3 linked regions of the Macaca mulatta genome follow. The protein of the gene in region 3 binds, or shares a complex with, the protein of the main gene of each other region. Links are inferred from orthologs where the notes say so. Each region holds a gene or a part of one and is shown on either strand. Other genes may lie near its edges.

Region 1 (7,952 bases), about 65 Mb from region 3:
GGAGATCGAGACCATCCTGGTTAACACGGTGAAACCCCGTCTCTACTAAAAAAATACAAAAAACTAGCCGGGCGAGGTGGCGGGCGCCTGTAGTCCCAGCTACTCGGGAGGCTGAGGCAGGAGAATGGCGTGAACCCGGGAGGCGGAGCTTGCAGTGAGCTGAGATCCGGCCACTGCACTCCAGCCTGGGTGACAGAGCGAGACTCCGTCTCAAAAAAAAAAAAAAAAAAAAAAAAATAATAATAATAATAATAATAATTATGGGACAGTGGAGGGTTCGTGGGTGGGAACTTTTCCTGCAGCTCTTTCATGTCAGCTCCTCCCTGTGTCCTCCATGGACCAGCTGCAAAACCCAAGTTATGTGTGCACATCACCTGACCTTTGGGGGCCACTTGTCCCAGCACTAAAACCCTCAGTTCTCCGCAGTGAGAGAGCACAGAACAGAAAACATGGAAGTTTCTCTGGCTGGGTGTGGATCTGAAGTCAGCAGACCTATCGAGTGTTTGTGTCACATGGGGAGGTCAGAGAATGGGAGGCGTCTCTGTAGGAGAATCCTGACAGCATTCTCTGCATTTAGAACACCCAGGGTTTAGAGCTAACGTGGGAGGCTCCCGCCACAGGAGCCACTGAGATTACAAGATTAGCTGCAATCCAAACCACATTTGGAGAAAAATAAAATGAGAAAGGGAGATACAGGCCTGGTGGCGGCACAGTGGCTCATGCCTATAATCCCTAGTACTTTGGGAGGTAGAGGTGGGAGAATCACTTGGGGTCAAGAGTTCAAGACCAGCCAGGGCAACCTACTGAGACTCCCCTCCCCCTCGCCCTGTATTTAAAAAAAAAAAGAAAGAAAGGGAGATATAAGAAAGGGAAGGCCGGGCGCGGTGGCTCAAGCCTGTAATCCCAGCACTTTGGGAGGCCGAGACGGGCGGATCACAAGGTCAGGAGATCGAGACCATCCTGGCTAACACGGCGAAACCCCGTCTCTACTAAAAACACAAAAAATTAGCCGGGCAAGGTGGCGGCGCCTGTGGTCCCAGCTACTCGGGAGGCTGAGGCAGGAGAATGGCGGGAACCCGGGAGGTGGAGCTTGCAGTGAGCTGAGATCCGGCCACTGCACTCCAGCCTGGGCGACAGAGCGAGACTCCGTCTCAAAAAAAAAAAAAAAAAAAAGAAAGGGAAGGGAGGGTTAGGTGGTCTCTTCGATGAGATGATTCCTTCCTTCCTTCCTCCCTTCCTCCCTTCCTTCTTTTTTTTTGAAACAGAGTTTCACTCTTGTGGCCCAGGCTGGAGTGCAATGGCACGATCCTGGCTCACTGTAACCTCTACCTCCCGGTTCAAGCGATTCTCCTGCGTCAGCATCCCAAGTAGCTGGGATTACAGGCGTCTGCCACCACACCCAGCTGATTTTTGTATTTTTAATAGAGACAGGGTTTTGCCATGTTGGCCAGGTTGGTCACGAACTCTTTTTTTTCTTTTGGGGCAGAGTACTGTGTCGCCCAGGCTGGAGTGCAATGGCGCCATCTCGGCTCACTGCAACCTTCGCCTCCCAGGTTCAAGTAGCTGGGATTACAGGTGTGCGTCACCATGCCCAGCTCATTTTTGTATTTTTAGTAGAGACAGGGTTTCAGCATGTTGGCCAGGCTGGTCTGGAACTCCTGACCTCAAGTGATCCTCCCGCCTCAGCCTCTAAAAGTGCTGGGATTACAGGCGTGAGCCACCACGCCTGGCCTGATGTGATTTTTTTTTTTTTTTCCTGAGATAGACTCTTGCTCTGTCACCCTGGCTGGAGTGCAGTGGCACGATCTCAACTCACTGCAACGTCTGTCTCCCAGATTCAAGTGATTCTTCTGCCTCAGCCTCCTGAGTAGCTGGGACTACAGGTGCCTACCACCATACCCGGCTAATTTTTGTATTTTAGTAGATATAGGGTTTCACCATGTTGGCCAAGCTGGTCTCGAACTCTGGACCTCAGGTGATCCACCCACCTCTGCCTCCCAAAGTGATGGGATTACAGGCATGCACCACTGCGCCCGGCCCAATGTGGTGATTTCTAAGTAGGGATCTGAGGGAGTAAGGAGCCAGCCAGTGGCTGTCTGAGGGAGACTGTCCCTGGCAGAGCGAACCGCTAATGCCAGTACCAGGTTCTGGGCCAAACAGAAAGAATCTTGGGCTCTCACTACATATATATATTTTATATATATAATATATATACTTTATATATATTATATATACTTTATATGTTATACTTTATATGTTATATATGCTTTATATATGTATAACATATATTTATATATTATATATACTTTATATATGTATAACATATACTTTATATATAATATATATTTTATATATGTATTGTATATGTAATATGTATGTTGGGGTTTTTTTTTGAGATGGGGTCTTGCTCTGTTGCTCAGACTGGAGTGTGGGCTTACGCAATCCTCCTGCCTCAGCCTCCGCAGTAGCTGAGACTACAGGTGCATGACCACCACACTTGGCTAATTTTAAAATTTTTTTGTAGAGACGGGGTGTCACTGTATTGCCCAGAGTGGTCTCCAACTCCTGGCCTCAAGCAATCCTCCCACCTCAGCCTTCGAAAGTGCTGGGATCACAGGTGTGAGCCATGGTGCTTTGCCTTCATATTTTGAATAGGCCGAAACAGAACTCCAGAATCCCCTTACCCCTATCCCCACCACCCCACATAGCAGGTTTCTCTCGCTCTGTAGCAACCCACTTACCTCTCTGAAATCATCCCAGGCGTGTTCGGAGTGCACGCAGCCCCGTTAGCCTCCCGGTCTTCTCCTGTAACCAGCCCAGCTCTGCCTGAGAGCTTCCACTATTCCCTCCATCTGGAATACCCACCACTCTCTCCCACCCCGGGCTTGGATCTGGCAGTACTGTACCAGCCTCAGGGCCTCTGCTGTCGGGCTTTCTGCTCTCAGAGCCTTTGTCACTGGGCTGGGAGCTCCAATATGATAAATGCATAGCCCGGGGCTAGGACCATCAAGGGAACCCAGTAAGTTGGCTCCCGAAAGAGAACTAGAAGCTTCGTTTGCATTGCACGTTATTTAATATTGAGGAAAATATAATTAGCCCGTATATAAGCATTGGGGTGAGAGCGCTAAAGATTGACCCCACCCACCTCCCACTCCTCACTTCCAGCCGTAAGCCACTTCCGGACAAGGCTAAAAATGAGTAAAACAATGCAACTACTCGCCACCTATCCTTCCCCAAGTTCCACCCTCCGAGCCTCAAGCCCCACGCCCTCCTAAATATCCCCGCCCCCGCTGGGACCCCAAATTGCCTAGAGCTCTGCAATTCCGCCCTTCCCGGCAGCGGGACCGAAAGGGTTAAGCGGAGGCTCCCGGCTCGCTGAGTGACAGCTTGGCCGGCAGCCGGGGAGAGCCGGCCAATCAGGGAGGGCGTACGCGACCCACGTGCGCAAACGGCCTCACGATTGGCCAGCGCCGCCAGATGCCTGCCCACCCCGAGCCCGAACCCACGTGCAGCTACTGCGCCTTCATTGATCCGCTTCGCGGTCCAGGTGGCGGCTGGGTGGGGCCTGGGCGGGACGGGGCAGGGACAGGGCGGGACAAGGCGGGGCCCGATGGGTCAAATGGCCCCCGGTGGGGGAAGGAGGAGTTTCCTCTTGGCCTGAACTTGGCTGACCTCGGCAGCTTCCGCCCTGTGAGGGACGTGAGTTGCCAGGCGTTTTCCTGGGGGTTGGGGGGACTCCAAGATTCCCGGGCCGGGGAAGGGGCTGCAGGGGTGTGGAAGGGCAGGACTGAGGCAAGGAAGGAGCTTGGTGCTGCAGCTGGGATGCAGGTGGAGGGAGGTCGTTTCTTCTGTCCGATGAATTCCGCCTAATGCACCTGGCTAACTCCTATTCATCCTTCAAAACCCCTTTCTAGTGATATCCCTGCACTTTAGGAAATTGTCTGAAAACTAAGGTTGAGCTTTGGTGACCTTCCCTGGGCTCCCCCAGCAGGGAGTGTATGTGCACCATCCACCCCAACCTCCTAGGGTGAGGCCTGGGAGGCAGGGTTCAGTTCTTTCTGGGTCCCCGGCCCCACGAATCTGGGCAGCTGGAGGCATTGATAAGTGAGGACGGGACCTAGGGAACGCATGGGGGAACCGCAGGACTGGGGCCCTGGAGACTTACCAAACCGGGAGGTGCAGGTGGGGTAAGGGGTGGCTCCCTCCCTGACACTGCCTTATTTTCTGTCCTTCAAGACCTGCTGTCTCCTTGTTTTAGACTTTGGCTAAAGTCCTGGAGGCTACTGCCTGAAGATGACCTCTAGGGACCAGCCTAGCCCCAAGGGCCCCCCGAAAGGCACTTCGGTGAGGAGGGCATGGGGTGGGATCAGCCCTCAAGGGAAACCTAGGTCAGCCCAATGAGGTTCTGCCCCTTTCTCATCCTGTATCCACCTATGACCTGGGCTGGCCTCATCCAGGCCTCACAGCTGAAGACAATACCGGTCACTGCTACATTCAAGACAGGTGCCAAGGAGCCGTTTTTTTTTTTTTTTTTTAAATTAAGTGTAGGCTGGACACAGTGGCTCACAACTGTGATCTCAACATTTTGGGAGGCCGAGGTAGGAGGATCATTTGAGCCCAGGAGTTTGAGACCAGCCTGGACAACGTAATGAGACCCCCATCTCTACAAAAAAAAATTAAAAGAATCAGCTGGGCCTAGTGACATGGGCCTGCCTGTAGTTGTAGCTACCCAGGAGCCTGAGGCAGAGGCTTTGCTTGAGCCCAAGGAGTTTGAGGCATTGCACTTCAGCCTTGGTGACAAAGTGAGATCCCATCCTTAAAAAAAATGTAGCTTCTAATCACATACGTGATAAAAAACACAGGAACACAGCACGTATTTGGTTAATATTTTACAAGCAATCCGGGCTCCCTGTACTTTATGTCCCAGAGATGACCATTTGTAAATTTAGGCTCTCAGGGCTGAGCAAACTCTCTTTTTTGTAAAGGGGTCAGATGAGGAATATTTTGTTTTGAGACTTTATGACTTTATTGTTTTTGAGACGGAGTCTCACACTGTCACCTCGGCTGGAGTGCAGTGGCGCAATCTCGGCTCACCGCAACCTCCGCCTCCCGGGTTCAAGTGATTTTCCTGCCTCACCTCCCGAGTCGCTGGGACTACAGGCACCTGCCACCATGACCACCAATTTTTTTTTTTGTATTTTTAGTAGAGATGGGGTTTCACCATGTTGGCCAGTCTGGTCTTGAGCTCCTGACCTCGTGATCTGCCCGCCTCAGCCTCCCAAAGTGCTGGGATTACAGGCGTGAGCCACTGCACCTGGCCAAGAGACTTTATTTTATTGAGTCTTGCTCTTGTCGCCCAGGCTGGAGTGCAGTGGCACGATCTTGGCTCACTGCAACCTCCACCTCCCAGGTTCAAATGATTCTCCTGCCTCAACCTCCCGAGTAGCTGGGATTACAGGTGTGTGCCACCATGCCCGGCTAATTTTTGTATTTTTAGTAGAGACAGGGTTTTGCTGAGTTGCCTCGACTTGTCTCAAACTCCTGACCTCAGGTGATCTGCTCACCTCGGCCTCCCAAAGTGCTGGGATTACAGGCGTGAACCACCTTGCCTGGCCTTTTATTTTTAAAAATATTTTGTGCTTCTATTTTCATCACAAGAATGTGGTGAATATTTTAGACTTTAGGCCAAAGTGCAAAATGGAAGATGCTCTTTTAGGTACTGAAATAAGAGGACGGGCGCAGTGGTTCATGCCTGTAATTCTAGCACTTTGGGAGGCCGAGGCGGGTGGATCACGAGGTCAGGAGGTTGAGATCAGCCTGGCCAAGATGGTGAAACCCCAGCTCTACTAAAAATATAAAAATTAGCCAGGCATGGTGGGAGGCGTCTGTAATCCCAGCTACTAGGAAGGCTGAGGCAGGCAATCACTTGAACCTGGGAGGCAGATGTTGCAGTGAGCTGAGATTGTGCCCCTGCACTCTAGCCTAGGTGACAGCAAGACTTGTTTCAAAAACAAAAACCACAATTACTTTTGCATCAACCTAATACCTATACTCTGGTTGAGATGGAGACCTGGGGTCTTGAGTGTTTGGGGCATTGTAAGTTTTTTTTTTTGTTTTTTTGTTTTGAGATAGTCTCGCTCTGTCACCCAGGCTGGAGTGCAGTGGCGCAATCTGGGCTCACTGCAAGCTCCGCCTCCCGGTTTCACGCCATTCTCCTGCCTCAGCCTCCCGAGAAGCTGGGACTACAGGCACCCGCCACCTCGCCCGGCTAGTTTTTTGTATTTTTTTTTTTTTAGTAGAGACAGGGTTTCACCGTGTTAGCCAGGATGGTCTCAATCTCCTGACCTCGTGATCCGCCCGTCTCAGCCTCCCAAAGTGCTGGGATTACAGGCGTGAGCCACCCGTGCCCGGCCAGGGCATTGTAAGTTTTATGTAACCTTGCTTTGACCTTTCCAGCCCCGTCCTGGGATCTCGAACTCTGAGAGCTCTCCACCACTGAATTATCAAGGCATTCTAAATCGGCTCAAGCAATTCCCCAGGTGAGAGCAATTCCAGGGGCTGGCAGTCCCACGCTGGGAAGGGGTCCCACCTGGCCTCTCTCCTTGGGGTCCTAGTGAGTGGTCTAGAAACTGCTGGCCCAAGAGACAGGCTCAGGAACAGGAAGCCATGTCGATACCCAGCATGGAGAACCCAGCAATACCCATCCCAGCTTTTGTTTCATATGTTGATTTTCCTGTGCGACATGGATTTGTTGGCATTCAATTTTATTGTTGAAAAATACTGCAATGGCTGGGTGTGGTGGCTCGCACCTGCAATCCCAGTACTTTGGGAGGCAGAGGCGGGCGGATCCCTTGAGGTCAGGAGCTCGAGATCAACCTGGCCAACATGGTAAAAGCCCGTCTCTACAAAAAATACAAAAATTAGCCAGGCGTGGTGGTGGGTGCCTGTAATCCCAGCTGAGGCAGGAGAATCTCTTGAACCCAGGAGGCGGAGGATTGCAGTGAGCCGTGTTCACACCGCTGCACTCTAGCCTAGGCTACAGAGTGAGACTCCGTCTCAAAAAAAAAAAATATGTATATATATATATATACTGCATGGGCTGGGTGCAATGGTTTGTACCTGTAATCCCAGCACTTTGGGAGGCAGAGGCAGGAGGATCGCTTGAGCCCGGAGTTTAATACCAGCCTTGGCAACATAGTGAGGCACCATATCTTAAAAAATAAAAATCTGAGTGTGGTGGTGCATACCTGTAGTCCCAGCTACTCAGGAGACTGAGGCAGGAGGATCATCTGAGCCCAGGAGTTGGAGGCTGCAGTGAGCCATGATTGTACCACTGCACCCTCGCCCGAGCAACAGGGTGAGATTCTGTTTCAAAAAAAGAAATTGAAGAAAGTGGCAGGGTGGGGCGCGGTGGCTCATGCCTGTAATCCCAGCACTTTGGGAGTCCAAGGTGGGCGATCACCTGGGGTCAGGAGTTTGAGACCAGCCTGGCCACCATGGTGAAACACTTTCACCATTAAAAATAAAAAATTAGCTGGGCGTGGTGGTGGGTGCCTGTAATCCCAGCTACTCGGGAGGCTGAGGTGGGAGAATCTCTTGAACCCAGGAGGCGGAAGTTGCAGTGAGCTGAGACCGTGCCACTACACTCTATCTAGCCTGGGTGACAAGAGAGACTGTCTCAAAAAAAAAAAAAAAAAAAAGAATAGACTGCATTAAAATCTTTATTGAACTTCTTGACACTGCCTTATATTTGGCTTCCGGAGCCAATGCCTTCCAGCTTCGTTGAGACCCTCCCTAGGGGTTGAGGGCGGGGCTTACTCTGGGGAAGGGGTCCTGAAGTCACAGGTCTTCCAGCCTCTCCTCTTTCCCCCTCAGGTTTTCTCCTCATTTTGCTGCGGAATTGGAGAGCATTTACTACTCGGTGAGCCAGACCCAGGCAGCCCCAACCAAGG
Region 2 (6,668 bases), on a different chromosome or scaffold from region 3:
GGTTGCAGTGAGCCGAGATCGCACCACCGTACTCCAGCCTGTCGACAGAGCAAGACTCCATCTCAAAACAAACAAACAAACAAACAAATAAACCAAAAAACAAAAAACAAAGACTAGCCTGTCCTAAAAAAAAAATTAAAATGAATTAGTTGTGGTGGCACATGCCGGTGATCTTAGCTACTTAGGAAGCTGAGGTGGGAGGATCACTTGAGCCCAGAAGTTGGAGGCTGTGGTGAACTATGATGGGTTACTGCATTCTAGCCTGGGTGACAGAGTGAGACGCTGTCTCATAAAAAATAAATAAATAAATAAATCCATTATTAATATCTAGAAAAACAAAACTTTGTCAAGGAAAGAAATCATAGTAAAGTATATACAGCTATGAATAGTTTACAAAGTCCTAATAGTGCAAACATTGAATATTGATTTAACAAAATCATATCTCTGTTTTAAGAGGATCTAGGTCTGATGCATGTAGTTAAGTCCCAGCTTACTTGGGTTGGAAGAGGGTGAAAGACAGTGGTAGATATATAAATCCTAGCCTCCCAAAGTGCTAGGATTACAGGCGTGAACCACCATGCCCTGTCATTTTTTTTGTTTTTTGTTTTTTTGTTTGTTTGTTTTTGTTTTTGTTTTGGGGGGGTTTGTTTGTTTTTTGAGAGGGAGTCTCGCCCTGTCGCCCAGGATGGAGTGCAATGGTACGATCTTGGCTCACCGCAACCTCCGCCTCCCGGGTTCAAGCGATCCTCCTGCCTCAGCCTCGCGAGTAGCTGGAATTACAGGCCCCTGCCATCATGCCTGGCTAATTTTTGTATTTTTAGTAGAGATGGGGTTTCACCATGTTGGCCAGGCTAGTCTTGAACTCCTGGCCTCAGGTGATGTGCCCGCCTTGGCCTCCCAAATTGCTGGGATTACATGCGTAAGCCACTACACCCGGCTTGTTTTTTGACTTTTTAATAAAAGCCATTGTGACTGGTGTATGATGGTATATCGGTGTGATTTTAATTTGCATTCCTCTTCTGATTAGTGATACTGAGCATTTTTCATGTGTTTGTTGGCTGCCTGTATTTCTTCTTTGGAGAAACATCTCTTCATGTTCCTTGTCCAGTTTTGTTTGTTTGTTTCTTTGTTTTGTGGAGACAGAGTCTCACTCTATCCCGCAGACTGGAATACAGGCTCATTGCAACCTCTGCCTCCCACGTTCAAGCGATTCTCATGCCTCAGCTTTAGGAGTAGCTGGGATTACTGGCGCCAGTCAGCACGCCTGGCTAATTTTTGTATTTTTAGTAGAGACAGGATTTCGCCATGTTGGCCAGGCTGCTCTAGAACAGCTGGCGTGAGCCACCGCATCCGGCTTTGCCCAGTTTTTAATGGGGTTGTTTTTTCTTGTTGTTTTGCAAAGTACTTTAATTGTCTCAATTAGCAAGTAAGAATTTCCCAACTACTAAATCATTCCTATATATTAAATATATTCGACCGCCTGGGCGCGGCCTGAATATATACATTTGGTCTATTAATGTGGCAAACCTGAAGTTCTCTTTAGTGTTTCAATACTGAATAAAAATAAATTATAAATTATTATTTATCTTATAGCAACACAGTTAAAAGTTATTATTTTCACACTTTTTTTTTTGTTTTGTTTTAGTAGAGGTGGAGTTTCACCGTGTTAGCCAGGATGGTCTCGATCTCCTGACCTCATGATCCACCCGCCTCAGCCTCCCAAGGTGCTAGGATTACAGGCGTGAGCCGCCGCACCTGGCTCAGTTATTATTATTTTTTGAGACAGGGTCTCACTCTGTCACCCCGCGGGGAGTGCAGAGGCACCATCACTGCTTACTGTAGCCTCAGCCTCTCTGGGATCAGGTGATTGTCCCACCTCAGCCTTCCCAGTAGCTGGGACTACAGGGGTGTGCAACTTCGCCCAGCTAATTTTTGTATTTTTTTTGTAGCGATAGGGTTTTATCATTTTGCCCAGGCCAGAAGGATTGCTTGAGACCAGCTTGGGCAACATAATGAACCCTTGTCAGAAAGGGAAGGGGAAAAGAAAGGAAAGGAAAAGGGAAAGGAGAAAGGAAAGGAAGGATGAGACAAATATAATTGTGTTATTTAGAGAACAGAGGCATCACTGGGCATGGTGTCAGAGGCTTGTAGTCCCTGCTACTGGGGCAGCTGAAGAGGGAGGATCTCTTGAGCCCAGGAGTTGGAGGCTGCAGTGAGCTATAATCACACTACTGCCCTCTAGCCTGGGTGACAGAGATCCTGTCTCCAATTTAAAAAATTAAAAATAAAAAAGAACAGAGATGTCAAAAATTTTCAAGGAATCTCCTCTGGTGTCCAAACCACGAGAACCATCTGTGGTTAGGTGTGTTCATTGCTGCATTAATTAAAAGCGCTTTATAGTCCCACCACTGGGGAGGCTAAAGAGGGAGGATTTTTTTCAGCCCTGGAGTTCGAAGCCAACCTGGGCAACATAGCCAGACCCCATAACTTTTTTTCTATCCCCCCCTTTTTTTTTACTACGCAAATCTCACTACACAGACCCTATAGCAAAACAAAACAAAACAAAAAGGCGGGCGCTTATTCTGCTCTGTACTCAGCTGTCTCAGGCAAGTGACAGAATAATCTGAAAACCTGGTGCCAGAGGGAGAAAACGTAGTGGCCAGGGATCAGAAGCGAGTGAGGGACGTATGAAGTATTCATTCTGCAAGTATCAGTTCCTTCCTCTGGGAGAGATACTGGGCTTGTCCACGCCTTCCTGAGTCCATGGTTAAGACTCCCGCTGGGCACCAGCGGATTCCTGGTGCCCAGAGCCCGGTTCCTCCTCCCGGGTGCGCTGGGGAAAGGGCTGCTCCTGACAGAAGAGACACTGAGAGCAACGCAGGAACCGGTGCACTTGCGCTGCCTCGGAAAAAGCCGGGGCTCCTGGAGGCGGAGGCGAGGCCTGGGACCCAATGAGAAGGGCGCGGTTGGAGAGGAGGGGCTGGCCAAAAGCACTTTAAATAAGGCCCAGGCGAAACCGCAGTTCTAGTCGCCTAGCTCCAGCTTGGCCTTTGGGTTTGCTGTGGTGGTCTTGTCTCCTGCAGGACCGGGCGCAGCATGGACACTCCCAGGCGGTTTCCGACGCTCGTGCAACTGATGCAGCCAAAAGCAATGCCAGTCGAGGTGCTTGGTCACCTTCCTAAGCGGTTCTCCTGGTTCCACTCTGAGTTCCTGAAGAATCCGAAGGTAGTTCGCCTTGAGGTTTGGCTGGTGGAAAAGATCTTCGGTGAGTGGAGCAAGGAGGGGCAGCCCCTATGCGGCTTCTTTCTGCCGCCCACACCCACATCCCACTGCGTTCCAGGGCAAGCCTCCCCAGTAGCCAATGCCCTCTGGCTGTCTCCTCCTTCCACTTTCCCCTCCCAAGACCCCCGGGAGCCACCCAACCCTCACAGCCTCTCTACTACCCGCGCAGGCAGGGACCGAGAACGCATCCCGCACGTCCAGGGTATGTCCCAAATCTTGATTCATGTGAATCGGTTGGACCCTAACGGCGAGGCTGAGATCTTGGTATTTGGGAGGCCTTCTTACCAGGAGGACACAATCAAGATGATCATGAACTTGGCTGACTATCACCGACAGCTCCAGGCGAAAGGTACGGGGCTGGGAATGGGGCTACCTGGAGCAAACCCTGGCTCCGTAGGAGTGATCCTGGGGTTTCCTGGCTGCTGGGGCTGCAGTCTCGCCCTCCCAGTCTGCCCCCGGTTAGTGGGTGGGAGACGGGGCGGTTGCCATGGATCCAGAAGGCCAAAGTGAACCCGCGTTCTGGGATTCCTGGTTCCTACTCCCGCAGGCCGCTTGGGTGACTGTCCTTTTTTGGAGAGGATATAGGGACACAGCTGTGGCCTCCGCACACTGCTCTTCTTTCAGGCTCAGGAAAGGCCCTCGCCCAGGATGTCGCCACTAAGAAGGCCGAGATCCAGCTGTCTTCAACAGAAGTCCGGGAGGCCGGGACCCAGCGTTCGGTGGAGGTCCGGGAGGTCGGGACACAGGGTTCTCCGGTGGAGGTGCGGGAGACCGGGACCCAGCAGTCTCTCGAGGCTGCCAACCAGTCCGGGACCCAGCGATCCCCCGAAGCTGCCAGCAAGGCAGTGACCCAGCGGTTTCGCGAGGATACCCGGGCCCCAGTTACCAGATTATGAAGGCATCTCGGGCCCTGGAGCCAGAGCCAGTCAGGGGTTAAAGTGAAAGCCCGTACTTCGCCCAGAAGCTGCGGTTGGGAGGAGGATGATGTGGATTTTTTGTTTTACCCCTTCTGTTGAATGGTTGCAAACACAAACGAGTTCTAATAAAAAATTGCAAACTAGAAGCCGCCCCCTACTTCAGCCCCTGAAGCTGGGGTAAGGGTGGATGATGTGGATTGGTTTTTTTTACCCCTTCTGTTGAATGGCTGCAAACACAAACTTGAGTTCTAATAAATAATTGCAAAGTGGAAGCCCCCCGCTACTTTAGTCCAGGAAGCCGGGGTGGCGGGGGAGGTTGACGTGGATTGTTTTTGTTTTACACCTTCTGTTGAGTGGTTGTCAACACAAACTTGAGTTCTGATAAACAATTGCATTTCCCTGACGTCTGTATTTTGGAAGGTAGAGGGGAGGGAAAGGCGTATTCCTCCAACAGCCCAGTTCTGCCCTGCGCCGCTCTTTACCTCGAGACAGGTGGGGCTTCTGGCTCCCAGCCGCCCGGGGTCGCAATCTTCCCTGGCTGTGGTCCGCTGTGCCCCTTGTACTCCTTAACTGCGCGCATCTGGCTTTAACAGGTGAGAAGCTTCTCTGGCCCACTAGGAAACCTCTCCAAGCCCGCTGTGGTTCTACTCAAGGTGACTTGGGATGAGAAAACCGGGTCGCTTGCGGGCCAGCTGGATTTGGAAGGCCCTGCGTGTATGGCGACGCTGCCACAGAACACTTTCCCCGCTGGGGAAAATTACCTCGGGGAAGGGGGAAACGAAGAGAGCCGAGCTGCACTCTCCGGCTGCACTGTTGCCGTCTTCAGGTCTTGCTTGGGTCACCCACCTTCCAGGAAGGTCTTGGACACCAGCAAGATACAGGCACCGGCTACTCTTTCCTCAGTTACTGCGGCAGCGAGGAGCCTGAGCAGAGAACACTTTGGCTTCCCGGGTCACAGCTCTGGTCAGGGCACTGGGATGCAGGTCCCTGAGCCTGCGAATTAATCTAGAAGAATGCAAGCCAACAGCTGGGTGCTAGGATTAAACAATAGCATGCAGTAATTCTGTAATTAGGATTTAATTAGGATTTTTTTTTTTAACCAAGAATCACTGATAATTTTCATTTTATTTTGGAGATGGAGTCTCGCTCTGTCCCCCAGGCTGGAGTGCAGTGGCCCCATCTCACCTCAACACAACCTCTGCCTCCCGGTTTCAAACAATTCTCCTGCCTCAGCCTCCCCAGTTGCTGGGACTACAGGCCCGCGCCACCACGCCCAGCTAATTTTTGCGTTTTGGGTACAGAAGGGGCTTCACCATGTTGGCCAGACTGGTCTGACCTCAGGTTATCCGCCCGCCGCCTGGGCCTCCCAAAGTGCTGGGATTACAGGTGTGAGCCACCACGCCCAGCCAATCACTAGTAATTTTTAAAAGTTCAAAGCTAACTTTAAATATCAGGGGAATGTCTATCACAAACTTTTTGTCACCACTAATTATCACTCGAGTTTAAAATAATCATGTACCTTACAATAAGGGAATTACAACATAAAGCTGAATTTACAAAAACTTATTAGCAACTTTTAACTGGTAATCATTTTATTAAAATAGTTGACTAATTTTAGAAGAACTTTAGAACATTTTAAATTCAAAATCAACACAAAATCAGTTTCAGATGAGGATACATCACAGAACTAAAACTCAATGTGTATGTTGTTTTTCTCTGTGTAATACCCACCTTACCAGAATGTTGGATTCTCTCCTTTACAAGCTGTTTTCATTGTCCTTGACCAAATTCAGTGTTAACCAATCTATGTTCATGTGTAACTTTTCTACTTTTTCTGCTGTCTACCTCCTATTTTAATTAAGTAGCTTTGTAGACTGTTTTAACATTTAAGAGGGCAAGTCTACTTTTTTTTTTTTTTTTGAGACAGAGTCTCGCTCTGTCACCTAGGCTGAAATGCAATGGCATTCCACTGCAATCTTCACCTCCGGGGTCTAAGCAATTTTACTGCCTCAGCCTCCCAAGCAGCTGGAATTACAGGCGCCCACCACCACGCCTGGCTGATTTTTGTATTTTTAGTAGAGACGGGGTTTCACCATGTTGGCCAGGCTGGTCTTGAACTCCTGACCTCAGGTGATCCACCTGCCTCAGCCTCCCAAAGTGCTGGGAATACAGGCCTGAGCCACCGTGTCTGGCCCTCACAACCTTTTCAACTCATCCAAAACATCTATGAACATCTTTCCTGGAACTGACACTTTAAGTTTCACCTATTCATATGGCTGCTTCTTTCTCTAAACACCCAATAAATGGAAACTCTATATCATGCTGGAATTATAGATGTCATCAAGCCAAGCCAGCTGCTTGGCGTGGAGGAACAGGAGAGGTTGCCACACTGGAGGCTGAGGCAGGAGAATTGCTTGAACCTGGGAGATGGAGGTTGCAGTGAGCCGAGATTGTGACACTGCACTCCAG
Region 3 (7,344 bases):
TGCATGTAGTCCCAGCTACTTGGGAAACTGAGGCAGGAGGATCCCTGGAGCCTGGGAGGTAGAGGCTGCAGTGAGCTGTGATTGTGCCACTGTAGTCCAGCTGGGTAAACAGAGAGCAAGACCACCCCCCAAAACAGTACATTTAACACATCATGACCCTGAGACATAAACGACATACTCTGTCTGCTTTTTTAAAGCTTAGAAAGTTTTTTTTTTTTTTTGAGGCGGAGTTTCACTCTTGTTGCCCAGGCTGGAGTGCAATGGCATGACCTTGGCTCACTGCAACCTCTGCCTCCTGGGTTCAAGCAGTCTCCTGCCTCAGCCTCCTGAGTAGCTGGGATTACAGGTGCCCTCCACCACGCCCAACTAATTTTTTTGTATTTTTAGTAGAGATGGGGTTTCACCACATTGGCCAGGCTGGTCTTGAACTGCTGACCTCAGGTGATCCGCCCACCTCAGCCTCCCAAAGCACTGGGATTACAGGCGTGAGCCACCACACCTGGCCATTTAAGCAGCTTTTTATGTAGCACTGAAGTGATTCCAGACACAGTCTGCTACATGGAGTGAAAGCCCCTTCCCGTTGAGAATATGACACCCAAGACTGAGAGCTCAGGGTGTGATGGGGCCTCACGCCGTCACCCTCTAAGCCTGGATGTCTCATTGGTGACACCAGCACTGCCATCCAGCTAAGATTAAAGGTCACCTAGATCTGTGCTGTCCCGAATGGGAGCTGCTAGCCCCACATGGGTACTGAGTTCTTGACATGGGTCTAGTGTGATGAGGAAACTGACTTCCCCATTTAACTTAGATTTGGCTGGCCACACGTGGATACTGGCTGCCACACTGGGTGGCTCAGCTGAATCAGACCCACCCTTGACTCCCGGCATCACCATCCAAGCACCATCCAACTGTGGGACAAGTGACACAGCCTTTCCGAAGCTGTGTCATCTGTCAACTGGGTTATCAACAGCACCTGTTCCGTAGACCTGTTCTGAGAACTCAGCGAGGAAGGGTTGGAGGGATTTTAGCGCAGTGCTTGGCACAGCTCAGTGAGCATTGAATAGTGGGTGCTGTAACTCTGCTGCTGCTTCTCCTCCCCCTCCCTAGATCAGTTATCAGTAAGCAAGTCGTGTCCTTTGGGCCAGGCACTACTCACACCTGTAGTCCCAGAACTTCGGGAGGACAAGGCAGGAGGATCGCTTGGGCCCAAGAGGTCGAGGCTGCAGTGAGCTAGGATCTTACCACTGCACTCAGCCTGGGCAACAGCAAAACTCTGACACGGAAAAGGAAAAAGGTGATATCCCTTTAGGCGTCAGGGTGCGGAACTGCCGCCCCTCGCATTTCCACTTGGAGGCATTTCTGCTAGAACAACACAGGCCTGGGCTCATCCCTGCTCTGGGCTCCCTTGTCTCCAGAGGAGGAGGTGGGATTGGGATTTTGGGACCCTCCTTTTTGAGCCTCTCTGTGCCCAGAAGCCCAGAATGCATGAGCTCTGGCCTGGACTTTACCAGGCAGAGGGGAGCCTGACCCCCACCCACGTTGAGTGCCTGAGTGGGCGGGCATCTCTCTCCAGTCATGGGGACAAGCACTCACTAACCCACAGTGTAAGCTGCACACGTAAGCCTCACGCCCAAGAGAGCTTTATCAGGAGGGAAGGTCATTATTCAATTTCCATCTGACTGATTCCCGCTTCCACCTTGTATCTCCCATTTAGAGTTTGGCGGCAAGAACAGATGTTTATCAGGTCACTCTTATGCCCTGACTCTGGGGGCAGTCTCGGGAGGTCCCAACTTCCTTCCTCACCCTGTTTGTGCATCTGCTCATTCCCCTCCCACCATGACTGGAGAATCGAAGTTACCATAATCCCGGTGGAAAGGAAGTGGCACTCACGTCAGCTTCTGCAGGGCGCACTGGGAGACCCTCAAGGCATCACTGAGAGGCGTCACTCCCTGGTCTGTCACCTCATTTCCTGCCAGGCTCAGAGACTTCAGGCTGGGAGAGGTCGTAAGGATTTGGGAGATCTTCAGGTAACAGGCGTGGGTCAATCCACAGCGATCCAGCCTGCAGAGACAGGCAGCATGAAGCAATCCCAGCTCTCGCCCAAAGCAGCCCATTTCCCCTCTACTCAGCACACGCCAGTGGCACTGGCCATTTTCCTGGTCCTCAGACTCTGTCTGCTCCTGCCTCTGGGCCTGAAAATTTGCTATTCCTTCCATTGCAACCTCCCCTCCTCCCCCCTCCCTCAGGTCTTCATGGGGCTCATGTCCTCGTTCATGTCTCTTGAAGGTCGCCTTTCGGGTAAGCCACACCTTAAACAGTGCCTGCCCCACCTCCCTCCATTGTTTCAACATTCATAGCAACGCACCCCAGCCTTTTATTTTTATTTTTTTTTTTGAGACAGGGTCTTGCTCTCGTCACCCAGGCTGGAGCGCAGTGGCTCAGTCTTGGCTCACTGTAACCTCCGCCTCCCGGGTTCAAGCAAGTCTCCTGCCTCAACCTACCGAGGAGCTGGGATTACAGGTGTCCTCCACCACACCCGGCTAATTTTTGTATTTTTAGTAGAGACGGGGTTTCACCATGTTGGCAAGGCTGGTTTTGAACACCCGACCTCAGGTGATCCACCTGCCTCAGCCTCCCAAGGTGCTGGGATTACAGGTGTGAACCACTGTGCCTGGCCTGTGTTGAATTTTAGACAGAACTTTTAGAGCTCTCCAAGCCTACACATGCTCCTGCCATGTGTGCACACATCATTCTTTCTGTCTTGTTTTGTTCTCCCTGTGCTGGCCTGTGAGCATCAGGAGAGCAGGAATCTCGTTTCACTCATCAGCACATCCCAGGAACTTGTCGTAGTACTACACACAGAATCAAGCATCTGTCATTATTGAATAAAGGAAAGTTCCAACTCCTCAATGTGACAGTGAATGGAAACCCTTCACAATGTGGCCCAATCCATCTTTCAATGTCAAAGTCTACCGTTTAGAGACTTAGCTCATCATCCCATCCCTCTGTACAATAAATACTTTGGGGAATACGGGCCAAGTGTTGGGAATAGAGCAGTTCTAGGTTCTGGGGCTACAGGAGTGAAGAGAATAGAACAATACCCCTGCCCCTGTGTGTTATGAGAAGGGAAATTCATTAGACTTCCAGGAAACTGGACCTAAGTGACTTCAATGCTTTTTCCTTTCTTGGCCCCAAATAGCCTAGATCCATCTTTTCTGACAACGTGTATATTTATTCTTTGAATCCAAGCTCCAGCTCTCTGCACTTGTGGTGCAGAGTGAGCAAAAGAGTGAGCATGTAGCTTCCTCCAATCTGTTCCCAGATAAACCCCACGTGAGGTCAGGCACAGCATTTCCGTCCTGAGACGATGTCTATGCTTTGGCCAATTTCCCTGGGTTACATCTTTTTAAAGTACAGTTCCTTGGCTACCAGGCAAACACACACGGTGCAAAGCAAATTCTTATTATTCTTTGATGTTAGTTGATGTGCCAACTAACAAAGCTCAAAGCAGGGCTTGTACTTGTCTGTCTCAGAATATTTGGGAGGGTGCAGCAGGTGGATCACTTCAGGTCAGAAGTTCGAGTCCAGCCTGGCCAACATGGTAAAACCCCCATCTCTACTAAAAATACAAAAATTAGCCAGGTGTGGTGGTGCACGCCTGTAATCCCAGCTACTCGGGAGGCTGAGGCAGGAGAATCACTTGAACCCGGGAGGCAGATGTTGCAGTGAGCTGAGATCACACCACTGCACACCAACCTGAGCAACTGAGCTAGATTCAGTCTCAAAAAAAAAAAAAAAAAAAAAAAAAAAAGGAAAAGAAAAAAGGAAAAGAATACTACATAAACATTAAATAGTTGTATCTCTAGACCAAGCTAATCTAATGAACAAACCACCTTCCCAGGACTTGCAAACCACAGTGAGAGCCCCAAACCGGAACCAACCAACCAACCAACGTGTCCCTGGACAGGGGAATGGTTCAACTGCAGTACTTCATAGCATCGAATGGCTGTCGCCAAGAGAAAGGAAGAAAATGTCGAACACTTGACTGCTTGGGTGGATCTCAAGCACTGACGGAGCAAAGCCCGTCTCAGGCGACGACATACCACACTGACTTCACTGTAAGAGCATTGTCAAGGCCGGGCACGGTGGCTCACGCCTGTAATCCCAGCACCTTGGGAGGCTGAGGTGCACGGATCATGAGGTCAGGAGATCAAGACCATCCTGGCTAATATGGTGAAACCCTGTGTCTCTACTAAAAAAAAAAAAAAAGAAAAATAAAAAAAATGAGCCGGTCGTGGTGGCGGGCACCTGTAGTCCCAGCTACTCGGGAGGCTCAGGCAGGAGAATGGCATGAACCGGGTAGGCAGAGCTTGCAGTGAGCCGAGATCGCACCACTGCACTCCAGCCTGGGCAACAGAGCGAGACTCCGTCTCAAAAACAAACAAACAAACAAACAAACAAAAAAACAGACCAGACTGGGCAACCGAATGAGACCTTGCCTCTGCATAATTTTTTTCTTTTTCTTTTTCTTTTGAGATGGAATCTCGCTCTGTCACCCAGGCTGGAGTGCAGTGGTGCCCTCTCGGCTCACTGCAAGCTCTGCTTCCTAGGTTCAGGCCATTCTCCTGCCTCAGCCTCCTGATTAGCTGGGACTACAGGTACCCGCCACCACGCCCGGCTAATTTTTTTTTTGTATTTTTAGTAGAGACGAGGTTTCACCGTGTTAGCCAGGATGATCTCGATCTCTTGACCTTGTGATCTGTCCCCGCCTCGGCCTCCCAAGCATAAAAATTTTTAAATGAAACTTTGAGGTTTTTTTTTATTGTGATAAAGTATTTATAACCGAAAATGGACTATTTTAATTATTTAGGTGTGCAATTCAGTGGCATTAAACTCCTGCAACCATCACCCCCATCCACCACCAAAACTTTTTCAGCTCTTTAATTTTTGCCTCTTTCTGTAATTATTTCCAACAAAAGCAAAAACGAAGAAACAAAAGGCAAAAGCCCTACCAGAGACGCACCTCAAAGACTCCAACAAACATTTTGGGTGTTTTAAGGCTTCACACGCCATCCTTACATCCTCTTCCTTCAGGTGGGTGCCTCCCAAATTGAGGGATCTTAGGTTACGGTTGGCAATGAGGGTTCTCCAGAGGTGCTGCAGACCAGAGGCAATCTGTGCGTTCCTAAACCTGCAGGAGACGGGAAACGGGAGATGCATGTGACACTGGTGACGTTTTGTTGTGACCTCACTTATCCTTCCCATCCTTCTCCCATTCTAACTTGCAAATTTCTAATTGTATTTCCTTGTAAAGCAACGAATACCTGAGTGCCTGTGATGGGCCAGCTACTGGGAATAGCGTATGAAGCAGTATTAACAATCCCTGCCTTGAAGAGCTTAATCCATCCAAACCCGTCCAAACCTGGTGTCAAGGAACCTGCTTCAGTAACACAAGGTTTTTGTTTGTTTTGTTTGAGATAGAGTCTTGCTCTGTTGCCCAGGCTGGAGTGCAGTGGCGCAATTTTGGCTCACTGTAACCTCCACCTCACTGGTTCAAGCAATTCCCTTGCCTCAGCCTCTCAAGTAGCTGGGATTACAGGCACGTACCACCATGCCCTACTAATTTTTTTTGTATTTTTAGTAGAGCTGGGGTTTCACCATGTTGGCCAGGCTGGTCTCGAACTCCTAACCTTGTGATCCTCCCGCCTCAGCCTCCCAAAATGCTGGGATTACAGGCGTGAGCCACTGCGCCTGGCCGATCACAAGGTCTTTAGCAACTCCCCACTCTGTGCTTTTGGGAACTTGGTTCCTACACCTTGGGTGGCACTGATGCCCTCAGGCTGAGCTTGAGGGGTTTCAGATGGGTCTCCTCTCAGGAGGTAGGGGAGAGCTGGGACAGCGTCATGGGAAGGGATTCTCTCACAGGGGGTGGGCAGCCTTACCTCAGGGTCTGTATCTTGCAGGTGGGATGCCTCAGCTTGGCACACAGGGTCTTCATGGCCCGCTCTGTCAGGATGCTGCTGCCCAGGTCCAGCTGCCGCAGGTTGGGGTGGGTGCTGAGCACAGAGCAGAAATCTTCCCACTGATCCTCCATGAGGGTCTTACCCCGCATCCTACATCAGGGGATAGAAACAGGGGCTCGTGGGATGGAGTTTAATATGAGCAACTGTGGTAACATGTCGGAGAGGGACAGAGCTATCGAGGCACATCCTATGTTGGGGGGGACAGAAATATGGGCTTGTGGGATGGAGTTTAAGGTGAACAATCGTGGCAACATGTCGGAGGAGAGGGACTGAGCTATCGAGGCGAGACCGGGGCAGCTTTAGAGACTCTGAGGCAACTTAGTGGCTGCCATCACGCTTTGCACGACTAGCCCTGTGTCCACCCTGCCTCCTGGATATATTGATACCCGAGGGGGTATGCAGGTATGACTAGGAACTGCCAGCTCCTGAGTCAGATCTTTTTTTTTTTTTTTTTTTGAGATGGAGTCTCACTCTGTCACCAGGCTGCAGTGCAGTGGCATGATCTCAGCTCACTGCAACTTCTGCCTCCCGGGTTCAAGCGATTCTCCTGCCTCAGCCGCCCGAGGAGCTGGGACTACAGGCGCCCTCCACCATATGCAGCTAATTTTTGCATTTTTAATAGAGATGGGGTTTCACCATGTTGGCCAGACTGGTCTCAAACTCCTGATCTCATGACCTGCCCCTGCCTCGGCCTCCCAAAGTGCTGAGATTACAGGTGCGAGCCACCGTGCCTGGCCCTACATCAGGTCTTTGCTTCAATTCCAGCTCCACTTGAACGTAAAACTGTGCAACAGCTTTGGAAAACAGTACAGAGGTTCCTTAAAAAATATTAAAATAGAGCTACTGTAGGACCTAGCAATCCTATCTCTGGGTGTAAGCTCAGAAGAACTGAGGTCAGGATGCAGAAGAGGTATTTGGTCTCCCGCGCTCACTCTGACATTATTCATAACAGCTCAGATGTGGAAAACTTACATGTCCATCCATGGATGAACAGATAAACAACATGTGATACGGCCAGGCGCGGTGGCTCACGCCTGTCATCTCAGCACTTTGTGAGGCCGAGGCGGGCAGATCACCTGAGGTCAGGAGTTGGAGACCAGCCTCAACGTGGAGAAACCCCGTCTCTACTAAAAATACAAAATTAGCCAGGCGTGGTGGTTCATGCATATAATCCCAGCTCCTCGGGAGGCTGAGGCAGGAGAATCGCTTGCACCTGGGAGGCAGAGGTTGCGGTGGGCCGAGACCGCGCCATTGCACTCCAGCCTGGGCAACAAGAGGGAAACTCCATCTCAAAAAAACAAAAACAAAAAAACAAAAACAT

What was found. The genes of interacting proteins can lie anywhere in the genome.
Region 1: the proteins of NLRP5 (region 3) and TLE6 are in contact, whole or in part, in a cryo-EM structure (PDB 8H94), measured with the Mus musculus proteins. The link is inferred for Macaca mulatta from reciprocal best matches to the Homo sapiens genes NLRP5 and TLE6. Residues at the interface, in NP_035990.1 of Mus musculus: Gln185, Phe188, His283, Arg307, Glu326, Lys327, Lys329, Ser330, Ser334, Pro335, Leu336, Met444, Ala447, Glu448, Trp451, Tyr465, Tyr507, Tyr508, Glu511, Glu515, Asn517, Phe520, Phe522, Leu540, Met543, Lys544, Leu547, Val571, Lys574, Leu575; in NP_444484.1 of Mus musculus: Pro147, Gln148, Pro149, Val150, Cys158, Gln159, Phe161, Leu162, Ile163, Gly165, Leu166, Trp167, Leu169, Phe170, Ser173, Arg174, Gln175, Lys176, Asn177, Ala247, Asp248, Lys249, Phe250, Lys252, Pro253, Ser255, Trp256, Leu261, Glu262, Cys265.
Region 2: NLRP5 (region 3) and KHDC3L share a complex: the UniProt entries of both Homo sapiens proteins name them as parts of the subcortical maternal complex. The link is inferred for Macaca mulatta from reciprocal best matches to the Homo sapiens genes NLRP5 and KHDC3L.

What each region holds. Positions count from the first base shown.
Region 1 is NC_133424.1:3,767,174-3,775,125, forward strand, and holds the start of TLE6 (transducin-like enhancer protein 6), read left to right. Parts: upstream 1-3,162; 5' UTR 3,163-3,547; exon of another isoform or gene 3,548-3,699; intron 3,700-4,236; exon of another isoform or gene 4,237-4,258; 5' UTR 4,259-4,293; coding exon 4,294-4,344; intron 4,345-6,456; coding exon 6,457-6,539; intron 6,540-7,875; coding exon 7,876-7,921; intron 7,922-7,952. UniProt on the Homo sapiens protein: Component of the subcortical maternal complex (SCMC), a multiprotein complex that plays a key role in early embryonic development.
Region 2 is NC_133409.1:112,314,408-112,321,075, reverse strand, and holds KHDC3L (KH domain-containing protein 3), read left to right. Parts: upstream 1-3,096; coding exon 3,097-3,265; intron 3,266-3,451; coding exon 3,452-3,631; intron 3,632-3,906; coding exon 3,907-4,178; downstream 4,179-6,668. UniProt on the Homo sapiens protein: Component of the subcortical maternal complex (SCMC), a multiprotein complex that plays a key role in early embryonic development.
Region 3 is NC_133424.1:68,392,889-68,400,232, reverse strand, and holds part of NLRP5 (NACHT, LRR and PYD domains-containing protein 5), read right to left. Parts: intron 6,114-7,344; coding exon 5,943-6,113; intron 5,192-5,942; coding exon 5,024-5,191; intron 2,062-5,023; coding exon 1,891-2,061; intron 1-1,890. UniProt on the Homo sapiens protein: Component of the subcortical maternal complex (SCMC), a multiprotein complex that plays a key role in early embryonic development.